2 linked regions of the Lepisosteus oculatus genome follow. The protein of the gene in region 1 interacts with the protein of each later gene in a pairwise test. Links are inferred from orthologs where the notes say so. Each region holds a gene or a part of one and is shown in the gene's direction. Other genes may lie near its edges.

Region 1 (7,269 bases):
AAACTAAATACTGGGTAAACACCTGGAAGATGTATACAAATGCAAAGTGTTGCTTACAGGTAGCAGAAACATAGAGTAGGTTATAGATATTGTAAACACTGAGCCACTGTAAAAGAAGCTGTCTGTGAAAAATATCATTTTTGCAAATTTAGTCATCACATTACTAAAAAAGATTGAAGATATTGGTGCTCTGGAATCATTCCAGAGAAGAGCAGTAAGACATTCCATGGTTTTAAAGGAATGTCTTGGAGTGACAGACTAAAACAACTAAATATAGTCATGAACTGGAGAAGACTCCTGAGGGACCTAACTCAATTATTCTAAACCCTCAAAGACATTGAGAAAGTTAGCCCGCTGGATTTATTCAGAATCAACAGTGAAACACAATCCAGAAAGAAAACACAAATTGATACTAAGGGAATGTGTGTTTCTGAGACCTAGAGGCATTTTTTACACAACGGGCAGTGGCAGTATGAAACAAACTCACCTGTTCAGAGAAGAAGCTGAAACTCTGGCTTCCTACAAGAAAAGGCTGGAGGAGATTCTTGGATTTTTTAATAGAAACAAAATGAACCGGATTACCCAGATTACATCTTCTCATTTTTAACTGTTCCTAGATTCATGTTTGACAAAAAAAACATTTTGATAATTAGCCAATATTAAGCTTTAATAATCAATCCAATTTAGAACTCCTAGTTTTCTGTACCATCAAGTACTGGTTTAATAAAGTCTGATGGGCAGAGGAAGGGATGTTTTAATTTGTTTAGTACAAATAAGATGCTTGAGCACATGAGTTCATTAGACCAAGAGCCAGTCTTCATTGACTGGATGGCTTTTTGTCTTAACCTGTAACCTGCTGCACATACGTTTCAATTACTCAAGCATAAATGCAGAGATGGATGGAACAGCTCTTCAGGCATTCCGTTTTTATTGGTCATGGAAGGTCCTCAGACCATCAGAACGTTTGGGTCTTCCCTGAGCTACGCAATTGTAGTATTCTTCAGTTTAATAAAATTGATTTACTGTATTAAGTTTGTACACAAAAACCTGCATTACCATAGACGGATTTCTGTCCAGCTGTGTTAAACAGGGATTAATGCTGTACGTGTCGCTAGTCAAAACAGACTGTTTACCCAATCACAGCACCTTGCTATTAAAAGCACTCTTGGGCACCTGTCCCCAGGATATCATTGTTAGAAACACAATGGAGCAACTTTAGTCTCCTTGGCATCAAATTGTGTATAATACAGGAAGAAGCGTTTCCCTGTTGGGAGCCACAAAGTTTAGTGTGAATGAACTGCCTTCCTTCAAAACTGGAAGGTGAATGACAACCCCCCCCCCACTCTCCAAACTCTGAATCTTTTTAACAGGCTTCATTTTTTCTCAAAAAAATCACTATCCCAATATGAATCAATAACATACGAGCCGCGCTTATGGAAATCCTTCACTGGCATTCTAAGAGATCACTCAGTTTTTATTGTTGGGATCAAAGCAGTGATATTTATGAAGGTATCCGTGAATCAATCGACTATAATACATTTCTTCTTAATTGATCTATTGAAGAAGTAATATGAGAAAACATCATGAATTGTTGGTCCATAGCATAAGAACCTTAATTCCCAAAATTGCTTTGAATGCTCTTCTGGGACCTGGTGTTTGACCTTGTCTGTAACCTCAGGAAGTGTAGGATACAACTACATGAGAATTCGACTTAGCGGATAACAGGACTATCGCATGACACCATTTGTTGGCTATGGGCCAAAACAAAAGCCAAAAACCACGGCTCCACTCTCTATATCACCTAAGCAAGTTTACGAGCTGAGACCACAGATTGCTCTCTTTCCCAGTACTTAATATCATTTAAAATTCTCTGTATCCCAACAGCACAAGGTTCTGTGTCTTAACTGAAAATACCTCAAGCCATCAAAAATAAGGACCCAGCAAGCTAACTGTCAATGTTTTTGAATCAAGGCAAAATGAGACCACCCGTCTTTAATAAGCAGCTGTAAAAATGCAAAGACCATAGGTGCTGAAAAAGGAATATTGGAGTACTCCCGTCATTCTGTCAGATCTCATTTTAAAAATGAGATGAATGAGATGGAACTGGGATACGTCGATTTCAGACACGCTGCACTGCACAGGTATTGCATTTTCAATGTGTACAGTACCTGTCTCTGATCCATTTTTCCATTTACCTGACGTCTTGTTGAATGTTCAATAAGTTTCCCAGCATATTGGCAAGTTAATAAAAAGGGTATTAAAGGTAACAAACGCTCTTTGATCTCGCTAATTTAGTCGTTTAGTAGCTAATCTCAAATTGTCCAGTCAGTTTTTATAAGCGCACAGAGTTTGGGCTTCAAACACCTGTGTGAGAAGACTGTTCCAGTCACCTCTTGTGTAAAAAAGGGGTTTATGTTCTCCATCCTAAATTAATTCCTTTTTAGTTTCCTACTACTGAATGTGAAATGTTCTCCAAGGGTGAACCTGACTTACCCTTTGGTATTCTATATGGTTGGTCAATTTTCCTCTTAAAATATATTATGTTTAGGCTGAAAACAACCTCCTTTAACCTGTCTATTTATGATAGTCCCCAGTGACCAGGAATATTTTTTGTTCCTCTTCTTTTAACTGTTTCTATGACTATAATATAATTTGATATTAAACTAAGCACACTGTTTCAACTGAGACCTTCTTTGTGTTCTGTATAGCTTGAACATAAATTCACACTTCTAGTTTACAAATCCAAAAGCATTTTGTTTGCTTATTTTATTGCTTCCCCACATTGTCTTGATGAGGACATAAAAGAATCTACATAAACACCCAGATCCCATTCATAGCTTCCTGTGGCTCAGAAGCACCCATGTGATATGTATAGTCTACAGTATGTTCCTGCTGTCTTTGTAGGTCACAATACATACTGCAGATAGATATCAAAGAAATCCGAGTTGGTGTCAGATATATAAATAGTACTTTAAATGTAATAATTTCTGCTCAAATGTTAAATTATTTAATATAATTTCAAATATTTACACATTTTTAAAATGTATGTGCCTTTGGCATTTATCTCCACAGATGTGGTCGATTGAAAAGTCAAGACAGGAACATATTATGTGTCAAAATTAGTCAGCAATTAAAGAGTGAACAGTTTACAATGCAAAGTTACATACAACAGATATATTCCATGAGCTTTATTGCAGTTATTCCAGTTAGCGTCCTTTTCAATGTTAAAATCCAATGATGGAATTAGAATGATCTTCATCCTTTGTTCACCTTGAGTTCAGACACGTTTCTCACCTGCAATTTGATTTGATTTTAACTGAAAGCTTCATTAACTTGCTGGGGATTTATGACTGAAAATAGACACTGGAAACCAATTGCCATAAACCTGTTTTAATATTAAATTTTAAAAGAACAAAATATGTCAGAGAAATGACGGTACTTTTTTTCTGGGAATTACTCCAGCCTGAAGTAAATGAATGCAAATACTCTTGTAAACCACAAATACACTCCTTATTTGATTTTGGACAGCAGTTCCCATAATGAATCACGTCCCACTGACAATCATAGGCATCCCACAGAGACATTCCCGATAACTGATGCTATGCAGTTTCTTAAAATAGATGCACAGGGGCTCGGAGGATCTGGTGGTGAGAGATGACCAGTGCTGTGCACAAGGTCTTCAGCCCACAGACATGTGTCCACTGGTGTGGCAGATTAGGATCAGTGGATGTGCTTGGGTCTGTGGGCAGAGGACATTCCTGTGTGCCGCCTGACTGCTCTGTGGATGCCTGTCTCAAACCAAACGCTGCAGCAGTATCGAAATTCAATTCCTCTCCCTTCATGTCCCGTCCAGCGCCTCACTCCGTAGACACACAAGGGCAGACTTCTCCGGTCCTGCTAAATTTCTTTTAGCCGGCTCTTAAGAGACTGTCTTAAGAGGCGTCTAAGACAGAAACGACCGCAAAAGCAGCGGTTTAGAGGTGACACAGGGTTTTCGGGCGCAGCTGGAGGCCAGAACTGCTCGGCTTCATCGCCACCCGCGCAAGGCCACCCGGGCGAGGCACGGCTCGAAACACGCACACTGCAAGCTGCGGCGCTTCACACGAGGGTCCAGGTTTTCGAGCCCCCAGAAGCTAAACTCGTTGGGGCTCTCTCGCGCGTGCGTGGGCGTGAGTGCGAGTGGGGACTAGAAGCGGGGGGGGGTCGTGCCAGTTATCTGGCCCGCTCTGCGCCCGGAGCCGCCCTGGAAGTGGCACCCTCCTCGGCGTGGCGAGAGAGACCCGCAGGTCAGCGCGTCGCCTGGAAGAGGGGGGACTGCGGGAAACGGGCCGGTGGGTGTTGCCGCTCATCTCACGTCACGGAAGCGTGGTTGTGAAGTGGTGGGGACGGAGAAAAAGTTATAAATCTCAACCCCGAGGGGAGTGGGAAAGGGATGACTGAAGCCCCTTTAAGCGAGGCGCGCTCGGACTGGATGCTCACCATCACACTCAGGACTCAAGCTACTGTAGGAATCCTGCTGTTATTCCCGTTTCTTGCTCTCTGAACGCCGGGATGTCAGTGTGCTAATCCATCGCGTTGTTAACTCTGGACCGTCACTGGGGCAGCTGTAAAAAAGGGAATTGTGCTCTCCGAACCTTCTTTGCCGAAAGGAAAGGCATTCAAGAAACGCGATGATGTATCTTGTGTTGATAGTACTTTGCGGACTCTCTGGAAGCGCACTATCAAAGGGTGAGTTTTGATTTATTACGAACTTGCTGTGTGTAAGTAGTGCAAGTTAGACAGAAACCAATTTCTCGTCGTTTAATAAAGATCCATGCAGGCAGCGCTCAGTTCGTTTGAACAACCTACTAAAAAAATCGTTTTAAGCAGCTCTTCATTAAGCAAATACATTTCGTTTTGAGCAGAAAAATTGAATTGAGTTTGGGTTGTCGTTTTCAACGGCTTTTAATTTCTGTTTTCCTTTAAAACACACAAGAAAGCGAAGTGTATCATCATCATCACCGACCTGGGCTGGGTACTACACAGACAAATACTACAGGAACTACACTGATTTTTTTAAAAATAATAATTGTTATATTTTAACAAAGTGTAATTCTAAAATGAATCTAATAATACATATTACATCAGTTACGATTTAACTCACGATTTTTTAAAGAAGATTATACTAAGGTGAAAAATTAAAGCTGTCCGCGATTCTTTTAATGATATACCAGTGAACATCAAGGTCTGGAGTTGCCTTTTCAGTGCGGCAGATAATTCTGATATACGGACTTTACAGATCACGTCTGCAGGTGCGCAACCATCCCAGTTAATCCGGCCGCCCCGCGTTGAAGAGCTCAAATAACGGGGATTTTTAACCATCCTTGTTTTCGGCTCTGGTTAAATCAGAGAAGGGCGGCGTTTCCTTTGCCTGATAAATTAGTTGAATGGAAGGGCTAATGCAAATTACAAAAGGTCATGACCACTAGAAGGAAACTTTCCAATTTACAGGAACTCGGACTAATCAACATATATTACTAAAACAGGCACGCAGGAGTGAACTGGAGTACCACCGAATGATACGTGCTGTGTTAGTTAGTCTTTGTCAGTGTTGACTTGCTAGTAAATACGTGGTTGACTCATGAGCAGGTTCTTCGATTCTGTACTCACCAGTACATTGTTTGCTACCGACAAATGATGTTTGGGAACAGAAACATTTTGCCTGCTGCTTCTTCTCCTTGTTGAAATACAGCGTATATAGCCAAGTCGTCTTAAAGTTGTTCGTTGAATTCGTTTAAATAGATTCGAAGAAAATTACATGAATTATTGACACCCGCTGAATGCTATTATATGGTTGACCGAAAACATAATTTTAACTTGCTGCTTATTTGTAAAGCTTAATAAGCGATGGGAAAAAATGAAAATGAAATGGGAAAAAATGTATTAAAATAGTCTTGTTAATTCCGTGGTTATTGATAAGGAAAACGTAGAAAGCATTGAAAAATTGACAGATTTTAACACAAACCGTTATTGGGTTCAAATTGAACACCGACGCATCTTTTCGATAGGTTCTCAATAAAACATTTTCCATAAGTAGTATTTTAAGTCTTGTATTTTATACCTAGATGAACGCAAATATGTGCTTTCGATACAAGCTGGGTGTTAACAAACAACGAGCTTAAAACGAACACGCGTCAGTTGAAGAACATTCAACACAACGGTTGAAAAGTATCGGAAGCAGAAAAACAAAACTCAAAGGTCGTGAAGATGTTAAGTAAACGAATTACATAAAAAGTGTATTTTTTCCTGACGCGTTCTGATGTGATTATCACTTCACAGTGGGTGTGCTCTGTGGGATTTTAAGGGTTGGCTGGACCTCTTCTGCGTGGGAGATGCTGAGAAACACCAGCAACTGGCTTTTTCTGTGTAAATTCCGGAGATACTGTAAATTCATGTGGTAAAAATGTACGCCGGTTGTACAGCATCGCTGATGCGTTGCTCCAACGTCCGTTCATAGCCTTTCAATCCGGTGGAGACATTTTGCCCTGTCTGTCGATCTTCAGATCACTGAAAGTGTGATTTCATTTATTGCGAGAGCAACCGAAGAGTGTGTTGGTCATTCAAATGATATTCAGCTTAAAGTTCAGAGCAGAAAAAATAAATAAAATTAAAACAGACCCACTCTCCCGTTCAACAAGCGGTCTTGGGTCTTCTTTAGGATCTGTGCCCTATGGCTAGCATCACAGGAGTGAGTCTTTTCCCTTCACATTGCGGCACGGTGATAACCCTACTGCTCGAAACCCAGACCAAAAGATCACTTTATACCTCAGGGATTCGGCCAGCAGGACGCCAAGTTCCACGCAATACAGATAAACCTAAACTGAAGGGAAAAATATATAAAAAAAAAACAACAAACCGCTTCCCACCCTTTTGCCCTCTCCTCCCAAAATTCAAGCCGCTCACCGCGATTCGTGAAAATGCCTTTCCACCTGTTCGGTTTCGAGAAGAATGGCGAACAGCCGGGAGGGAAGACTAATGAGGCTTGAAATCTATGCGGCCCGCAGTATTCAGCGGTGTGATTGATCAGCCTGGTGTGCGGGTTCGAGAAGGTCAGGGCTTTCTGTGCGTGAGTGATCAGGCACTGGCGACCGTTCTGCTCCAAAGCGATGCGGCACCGAGCGGACTGGGTTAATCAGAAAAATATTTTTTTTTTCCAATTTTATGGGGGTGTTTTATTTTTATAGGAATACGTACTGCGTAGGACCAAATGTACAGTACTTTCGAACTCCG
Region 2 (6,909 bases), on another chromosome or scaffold:
AAATAGAAAGCGAAAAAAAGCAGAAGTGAAAGACTGGCGCTTCAATCGTTAGATGAGCGATGGAAACGGTTTGTGTTGGTTGTGCTGCCTCTTTTTGTTGTGGGACTGGCACCACTCCATTCAGGAGGTGGCAGTAAATGTTCCAGACCTTCAGGCAAGACGAGCGTTTCTGCTGTTTTAAGATTTTGAAGCCTGTCTGTCACCAAGGCAAACAGCAGGTCAGGCCTCTGAGCTGATCTTTCAGATGCTGAAAAATCTGGCAAACCTCTCGGCCTTTTCTCTTGATGTGAAGCGCGGAGTGTGCCTGGGCATCTGTCCGTCACATTACTGCGCTGAAGAAATTCACAGACCAGCCTGGTGGCATTGCTGAGGGCTGAAATAACTGGAGCGATGACCTAGATTTGTGTGCGTCTGTGTGCCACTGTGTGGTGTCTGTGTGTGTATGTGGGTGTGGGGTATCTGTTTCTGTGTGTGTGTCAGTGTGGGGTGTCTGTGTGCCACTGTGTGGTGTCTGTGTGCCACTGTGTGGTGTCTGTGTGTGTATGTGGGTGTGGGGTATCTGTTTCTGTGTGTGTGTCAGTGTGGGGTGTCTGTGTGCCACTGTGTGGTGTCTGTGTGTGTATGTGGGTGTGGGGTATCTGTTTCTGTGTGTGTGTCAGTGTGGGGTGTCTGTGTGCCACTGTGTGGTGTCTGTGTGTGTATGTGAGTGTGGGGTATCTGTTTCTGTGTGTGTGTCAGTGTGGGGTGTCTGTGTGCCACTGTGTGGTGTCTGTGTGTGTATGTGAGTGTGGGGTATCTGTTTCTGTGTGTGTGTCAGTGTGGGGTGTCTGTGTGCCACTGTGTGGTGTCTGTGTGTGTATGTGAGTGTGGGGTATCTGTTTCTGTGTGTGTGTCAGTGTGGGGTGTCTGTGTGCCACTGTGTGGTGTCTGTGTGTGTGTCAGTGTGGGGTGTCTGTGTGCCACTGTGTGGTGTCTGTGTGTGTATGTGAGTGTGGGGTTTCTGTGTGTGTGTCAGTGTGGGGTGTCTGTGTGCCACTGTGTGGTGTCTGTGTGTGTATGTGAGTGTGGGGTATCTGTTTCTGTGTGTGTGTCAGTGTGGGGTGTCTGTGTGCCACTGTGTGGTGTCTGTGTGTATATGTGGGTGTGGGGTGTCTGTTTCTGTGTGTATGCGAGTGTGGGGTGTCTGTGTGTGTATGTGTCAGTGGGGGGTGTCTGTTTGTGTGTGTCGGTGTGGGGTGTGTGTCTGTGTGTGTTTGTGAGTGTAGGGTGTCTGTGTCAGTGGGGGGTGTCTGTCCGTGTGTGTGTGTGTGTGTGTGTGTGTGTGTGTGTGTGTGTCAGTGGGGGGTGTTTATGTGTACAGTCTGTGAGAGTGTGAAAGGAGTTGTTGTGTGTGTACACTAGCGTTCCTTGTCACCAAGTCAAACATGCACTGATCTTCAAACACCCATTGTGTGTTCTGCTTGTCTTTCAGAGCTGCTCTCTAAAAGCACTTTTAAGTTTCCAGTTCACCGCAGCCCTTACATTTTCCAGAAATCAATACATCACTGTTAGATCAACCGATGTAACAGTCTATATTAAAAAAGATGTCTGTTTCTGACAGTGTTGTTCAATATTAGGAGTACAGCTTTTCTTTTGAGGTTCAGATCCATTTTTCAAAACACGCAATTGCAGCTCTGCGACACCGTGCTGCTGCCACATCTGCACAGCGCTGTCTTTTATTAATTCTATTTTGGTTTTAATGAGAAAGGTGTGCATTACAAATCCCCGCTTAACCTAGTTTGGGTGGCTCTGTGATGCTTAATTTCGTCATTCTTCTGCCTCTCAAATAATGGCAGGGAGGAGAGGAGAGGAGAGGAGGGGGGAGGAGAGGGCTTGAGCCTGCTCGCTGTGATTGCATTTAATGTGTCTCCTGGGAACTGGAGAAACTGAGAAGGAAGAGCAAGAATCCTGAATTCTTTATGCTCTTGTTGGCTAAGTTTCCCTGTCTTCCAGTATAATATTGTTAGAATCTGGTAAGACAGGGCAGAAGGAAAGATGCGGAGAGCCCTGTCCTCCTCATTTTAGGTGCATCATTTCCTAGCAGCAACAGACTTGAGAATCCAAATGGCCAAATTTATGTTCTTTCAAGAAAGTTATGAACAAGGCTAGGCCCTTTCACCCCTTGTGCTCATCTGGTAGTTGATCTCATTGAGCTGTTTCTTCAAGGTTCCCAGGGTACTGTCTTCAACAATGTGGCTGGACAGATTGTTCCATACACCTACCACCCTCTGTGTAAAAACATGCCACTTGTTGTCAGTCCCAAATACACTTCAATGATCATTCCAGTGTTTCTGAGTGTGAAGCAGTCCCTTGGGCTGACTATATCAATTCCTTTCAGGATGTTGAATACCCATATCACACTCTGTTGTAATTTTATACCCCCTGTTCCAGACTAAAAAGATCCAGTTCCTTGGACTTATCTGTTAATGCCATTCGCTCTAGACCTGAAATTATTGAAAATAAGGTTTGCTTATTTTCAACTCCAATCTACCGATTCATCATTTTATCAATCGATACTGTCGCTTATCTGAAAAAAAAAGAGCATTTTTTCATTTTCTCATTTTCCGGTCCCAAGCTGATCCTGAGCTGCCCCTCCCTCTCAGAGATCTGGCTAGAGTACCTCCTTTATATCATCTCCTGTTAGGGCCATAGCGCCTCCATCTGTCAGAGGAGGGGATAACAGCCTGGAGCACTCTGGAGGGCAGATGTCTCCGGTGCTATATGCTCTGTGCATACAGTATATGTCGATGTGCACATCTGCTGTGTGTCGTTTTGTCTTATTTTGTCCTGTGCTGTCTGCAGCTTGAGTGATGGTGGCTCTGGGGACAGTCTGGGTGAAGAGCTGAAGAGAAGAGCTCTCAACAGGTAGCCTGGCTTTTTTATTCCTTGGGTTTTAAGTTGTGCGCTTTGAAAAAATGCATGCATGGGTGGTGTGGCCTGCTGCATCTCTGTGTCGTGGTTTTGGGTTCAAATCGAAGGCACAAGTTGTTGTTGTTCTGATCTTGTCACTTTGCTGCTCAATGACGTCTCAGGAAAAACACAGTCCAGCAGCAGCGCTCTGACAATCCTGGGTTTGATCTTTGCTGACGGTTGTTAGTTTGTTAAAGATAACGTGCGGATCAGCCAGTTCAATCTCTCACGTACAACTGGCTTGAAACTAACACCTTTACTGTGTTCATGTCTGTGTACCCGTCTCTGTTTCAGTGTTGCCATGAGAGAATTGATTCTGAAAGGCAGTATATGGAATAGAGATGATAATACATGGGTTGTTAAAATGGTTCATTTAAACACAGATGAAATTCATCATCATCTGGGGGGGATAGGGCTGATATAGCGCCCTCTGGTGTCTAGTGTACTTACTTACAGGAGGAGGCATTCACCCAAGCCCCATCAGAAGGTGTGTCCGATTTCATTGGTCAGTGGTGCCCAGTTTTCTACATGGACTTGATGGGAGTACAGTCAGTTAATAGTAGTTTTTTTTTTTTAGACATTTTACCCCCAAAAAACATCTGGGAGTTTCTTCCCAACCTTGAATTTAACCATGTGAATTTAACATGTGACCTGTTCTTAAGTCAATAAATTAATCTTAACGTCCAAGTTTTGTTTGCAGTGACAGTGTGACCTTCCTGCTGGGGGCGCAGACAGGGGGTGCCCCTGACCCGAGCAGGCATTGAGGGGGTGAGAGTTTGGGAACACTCGCAGGAAAGCAAGCTACCTATGATATATGATATATGATATATGATATATGATATATGATATATGATATATGATATATGATATATGAAATATTATATATTCATCCATGTTTCACTGTGTTATGAAACCAAGGCAGTTTGTGTCCTTTTAAAATTTTTTAAAATGTTTTTAAAAACTCAAGGGCACATGTTTCTGAGACCCACCCCTGAACCATCAAAAACAACCGGGAGTGGGTCCCTGAAACTGTGTAACATTACCATCCGTATTGCAAAGCTCCTGTAAGGGCAAAAATGCTCCGACTTCTGAAAGAATCTCAGTTTGGCTGCAGGGAGGGGGACTGGGAGTTTCATCCAACACATCTATACACACCCTTGGGTGGACAGTGTAGTCTCACCTGCTTTCATCAAGACATTTTTGCCCCTTTCCAAATCACGTGCAGTGTAGTTTCACCCTCCCATGGTGCCCTGTGCCCTGTCGCCAGCCCTCCCCTGCCTCCGAATGGGCTCCTGAGGGGACTGACTCGCTCCACAGCCTGCTGTCCCAGCCCTCCCCTGCCTCCGAATGGGCTCCTGAGGGGACTGACTCGCTCCACAGCCTGCTGTCCCAGCCCTCCCCTGCCTCCGAATGGGCTCCTGAGGGGACTGACTCGCTCCACAGCCTGCTGTCCCAGCCCTCCCCTGCCGCGCAGCGAATCCGCCGGCGATGTCTTCGGAAAGCTAAACGTGCTTGAGGCAGCGTTAAACATTAAAATGAAACGTGATCCCCCACGGTGTGGCGCCCCGCCCCCTGCTTGACGAACACAATAGCGGGGATGGAGCCTGCGGCCGCAGGAGGGGGGGGGTCCTGGCTGGGAGGGAGGCAGGGCCAGATGTTGGGAAACTAATGCTGCCTGGGAGCAGCTGGGCTGGGCTGGACTGCTGGCTAATAGATGTGCAATCGCACTCACACGATGACATCACTGGCTGTGCTGCACGGGGGGGGGCTACAGACAGGGAGGGAGGGAGGGAGCCCAGCTAAGAGCAGAAGAGCTCAGAGACAGGAGCAGAGTGAGCGTGAGGGAGAGAGCGAGGGAGAGGCACCGAGAGAGGGAACGGGACACCGTCGGCATCACAGTCAGGGAGAGCTCTCTCTCCAGGAGCCGGCGCGCATCAGTGGGAAGAAAGAGATTTTTGTCGTCGGCTTTTTTGGGAGGGGGTTCTGTCTTCCTCTCCCCCCCTCCCCCCTGTCCTCTCCTCTCCTCTCCTCTCCCCTCATCCTCCAAACCCTGCTCCCTTCGTCGGGCCGACCCCCCCGGGCATGCTCCTTAAGCCCAAGTATGACCGCTTTCGCAACGACTCCGTGACCTCCTCCGATGACCTGATGCAGAACTTAGCCATGAGCGGCAAAGTGGCCAGCACGCCGGCCAGCTCCGCCTCCCCCGCGCCCCCGCCGCCGCCGCCCACCCTCGGACCCCTGGGCCGCCACCCCTACCCCCCACCTGCCCTGGCGGAGTCCCCCTGCCCAGAGGCGGACCAGGATGGGACCACCACCTTCTGCATGCTCATCCCCAGGATGCCGCAGTGGAAGTTCTCCAACGCGTCGGCCTTCCTCAGCAGGAGCCCATCCAGCTCCAGCTCCAGCTCCAGCGGCAGCGGCGGGAAGGACGCCGGGGCCAAGAGCGCCCCCCAGGGGACAGCCGGGCCCGCGGCCCCGTCCAGCGGCCCCGTGGCCAGCCTGGCAGCCGTTCTGAACTCCTGTGACCCGGTGTGCGTCACCCCTTGTTCCCTGCAGGCCGTGAGCAGGCTGCGCGGCGCGGCGGGCAGCGGCCCCGGGGTGCCCGCCGCGGGCATGAGCCGGAGGCCCCGCGTGGACGGCGTGAGGCTGGGCGGGGAGGACTTCACCCACAAGGGCAGCTTCATCCACAAGCCCTCGCAGGGCTGGCTGCACCCCGACAAGAAGATCGCAGGGCCGGGGGTGTCCTACATAGTCAGGGTAAGTGTGCGTCGCACGCGCGTAGCCCTCCTCCCGCGCCCCTGCGGCGGCTTCGCTGTGGGCCCCAGCAGGAGCCCTGAAGCTGTGCTCACAGGGAGATGAGCTGCCTGTGTTTTGCAGGGTCATTCACTCTCCTGGGCTGCAGTGTTTCTTAACCTGCTTGGGGTCTCCTAAGCTCTTTTCTTTTCACCTCACACGCTGTGCAACAGCAGTGCATGCCAGGCCTAGCTCCCGTGCTTCGAGGTGCGTGCCTGGGAGAGGGAACGGAGGGATTAAGTGTGTGCCCGGGGCTGTGTGGCTGCGACTGCGTGTTTGTTCCGGACGAGGTTTGTTTTTCTGGTTTTGGTAGATCTCCAGATGGGTTCTGTTGTGACCCCTTTGCTGGTTGAATTCTCTTTTTTGAGTCTTGCAGGCTGTTTCTACACTGCAGCCCTTGTTGTCTGGACAGTGCTTCGCAGTACCGTGTTCCTAGGCCGTGTGTACCTGTGATCTTCCTGTGGCTTGTAGCTGACCGTGTCACGGTGAATGCGTGCTTTGTTTGTGTGTCTGCGTCAGCATCCTTATTTGTGCTGGTGTGACAGTGTGGGCACCAGCTGGCGCGTTCTTTTGTGTGAGTATCGGGGGGCTGGATTCTGGATGTATGTGTTGGTCTTGTAGTTTCTGTTGCTGTGAGCGAGCACGCACCCCAGCTGGCCTGTCAGACAGCCCTACACTGCGACTGAGTCTTTAGTTGAACATCCACAGAATTCGAACAGACTGTGGACTTGTGTTCAGTTTCAGTGACCTGCTTGTTTGTGTGCCACTGACCCTTGATGGGAGTATATACAGTGTCTTTTCCTTTTTTGTGTGTGTGGGGGGGTGTTGCTAGCTTTATAGAAATACACAGACCACTCCTGCTTTCAATCTCATGCTCCAAAATCACTGTCCCAATTCTAAAACGTTTTCTTCCAAAATGTTTTTTTTTAATTTGCAGAGCCCATCAGTAGAAGGGGGAGGGGAGGGAGGGAGAGTCTTTCTGAAACAATAAATATTGCTCTCTAGAGAAATCTGTAGCACATAGCATTACTTAGGTCTATAGTGGTGACAGCAACTCACACAAGGCTAGACAGAATTACTATAAATAAAGTGACATTTTTAGAAGGGCAGGTAAACACCATGTCACATCACAGCATCTAGATACAAACCACCTGTCAACAACAGTTT

What was found.
Region 2: the proteins of flt1 (region 1) and shc2 interact in a two-hybrid assay, tested with the Homo sapiens proteins (2 studies listed by BioGRID). The link is inferred for Lepisosteus oculatus from reciprocal best matches to the Homo sapiens genes FLT1 and SHC2.

Annotation. Positions count from the first base shown.
Region 1 is NC_090700.1:5,799,757-5,807,025, reverse strand, and holds the start of flt1 (vascular endothelial growth factor receptor 1), read left to right. Parts: upstream 1-4,261; 5' UTR 4,262-4,670; coding exon 4,671-4,728; intron 4,729-7,269. UniProt on the Homo sapiens protein: Tyrosine-protein kinase that acts as a cell-surface receptor for VEGFA, VEGFB and PGF, and plays an essential role in the development of embryonic vasculature, the regulation of angiogenesis, cell survival, cell migration, macrophage function, chemotaxis, and cancer cell invasion.
Region 2 is NC_090724.1:8,506,437-8,513,345, forward strand, and holds the start of shc2 (SHC-transforming protein 2), read left to right. Parts: upstream 1-3,899; 5' UTR 3,900-5,031; coding exon 5,032-5,706; intron 5,707-6,909. UniProt on the Homo sapiens protein: Signaling adapter that couples activated growth factor receptors to signaling pathway in neurons. Involved in the signal transduction pathways of neurotrophin-activated Trk receptors in cortical neurons.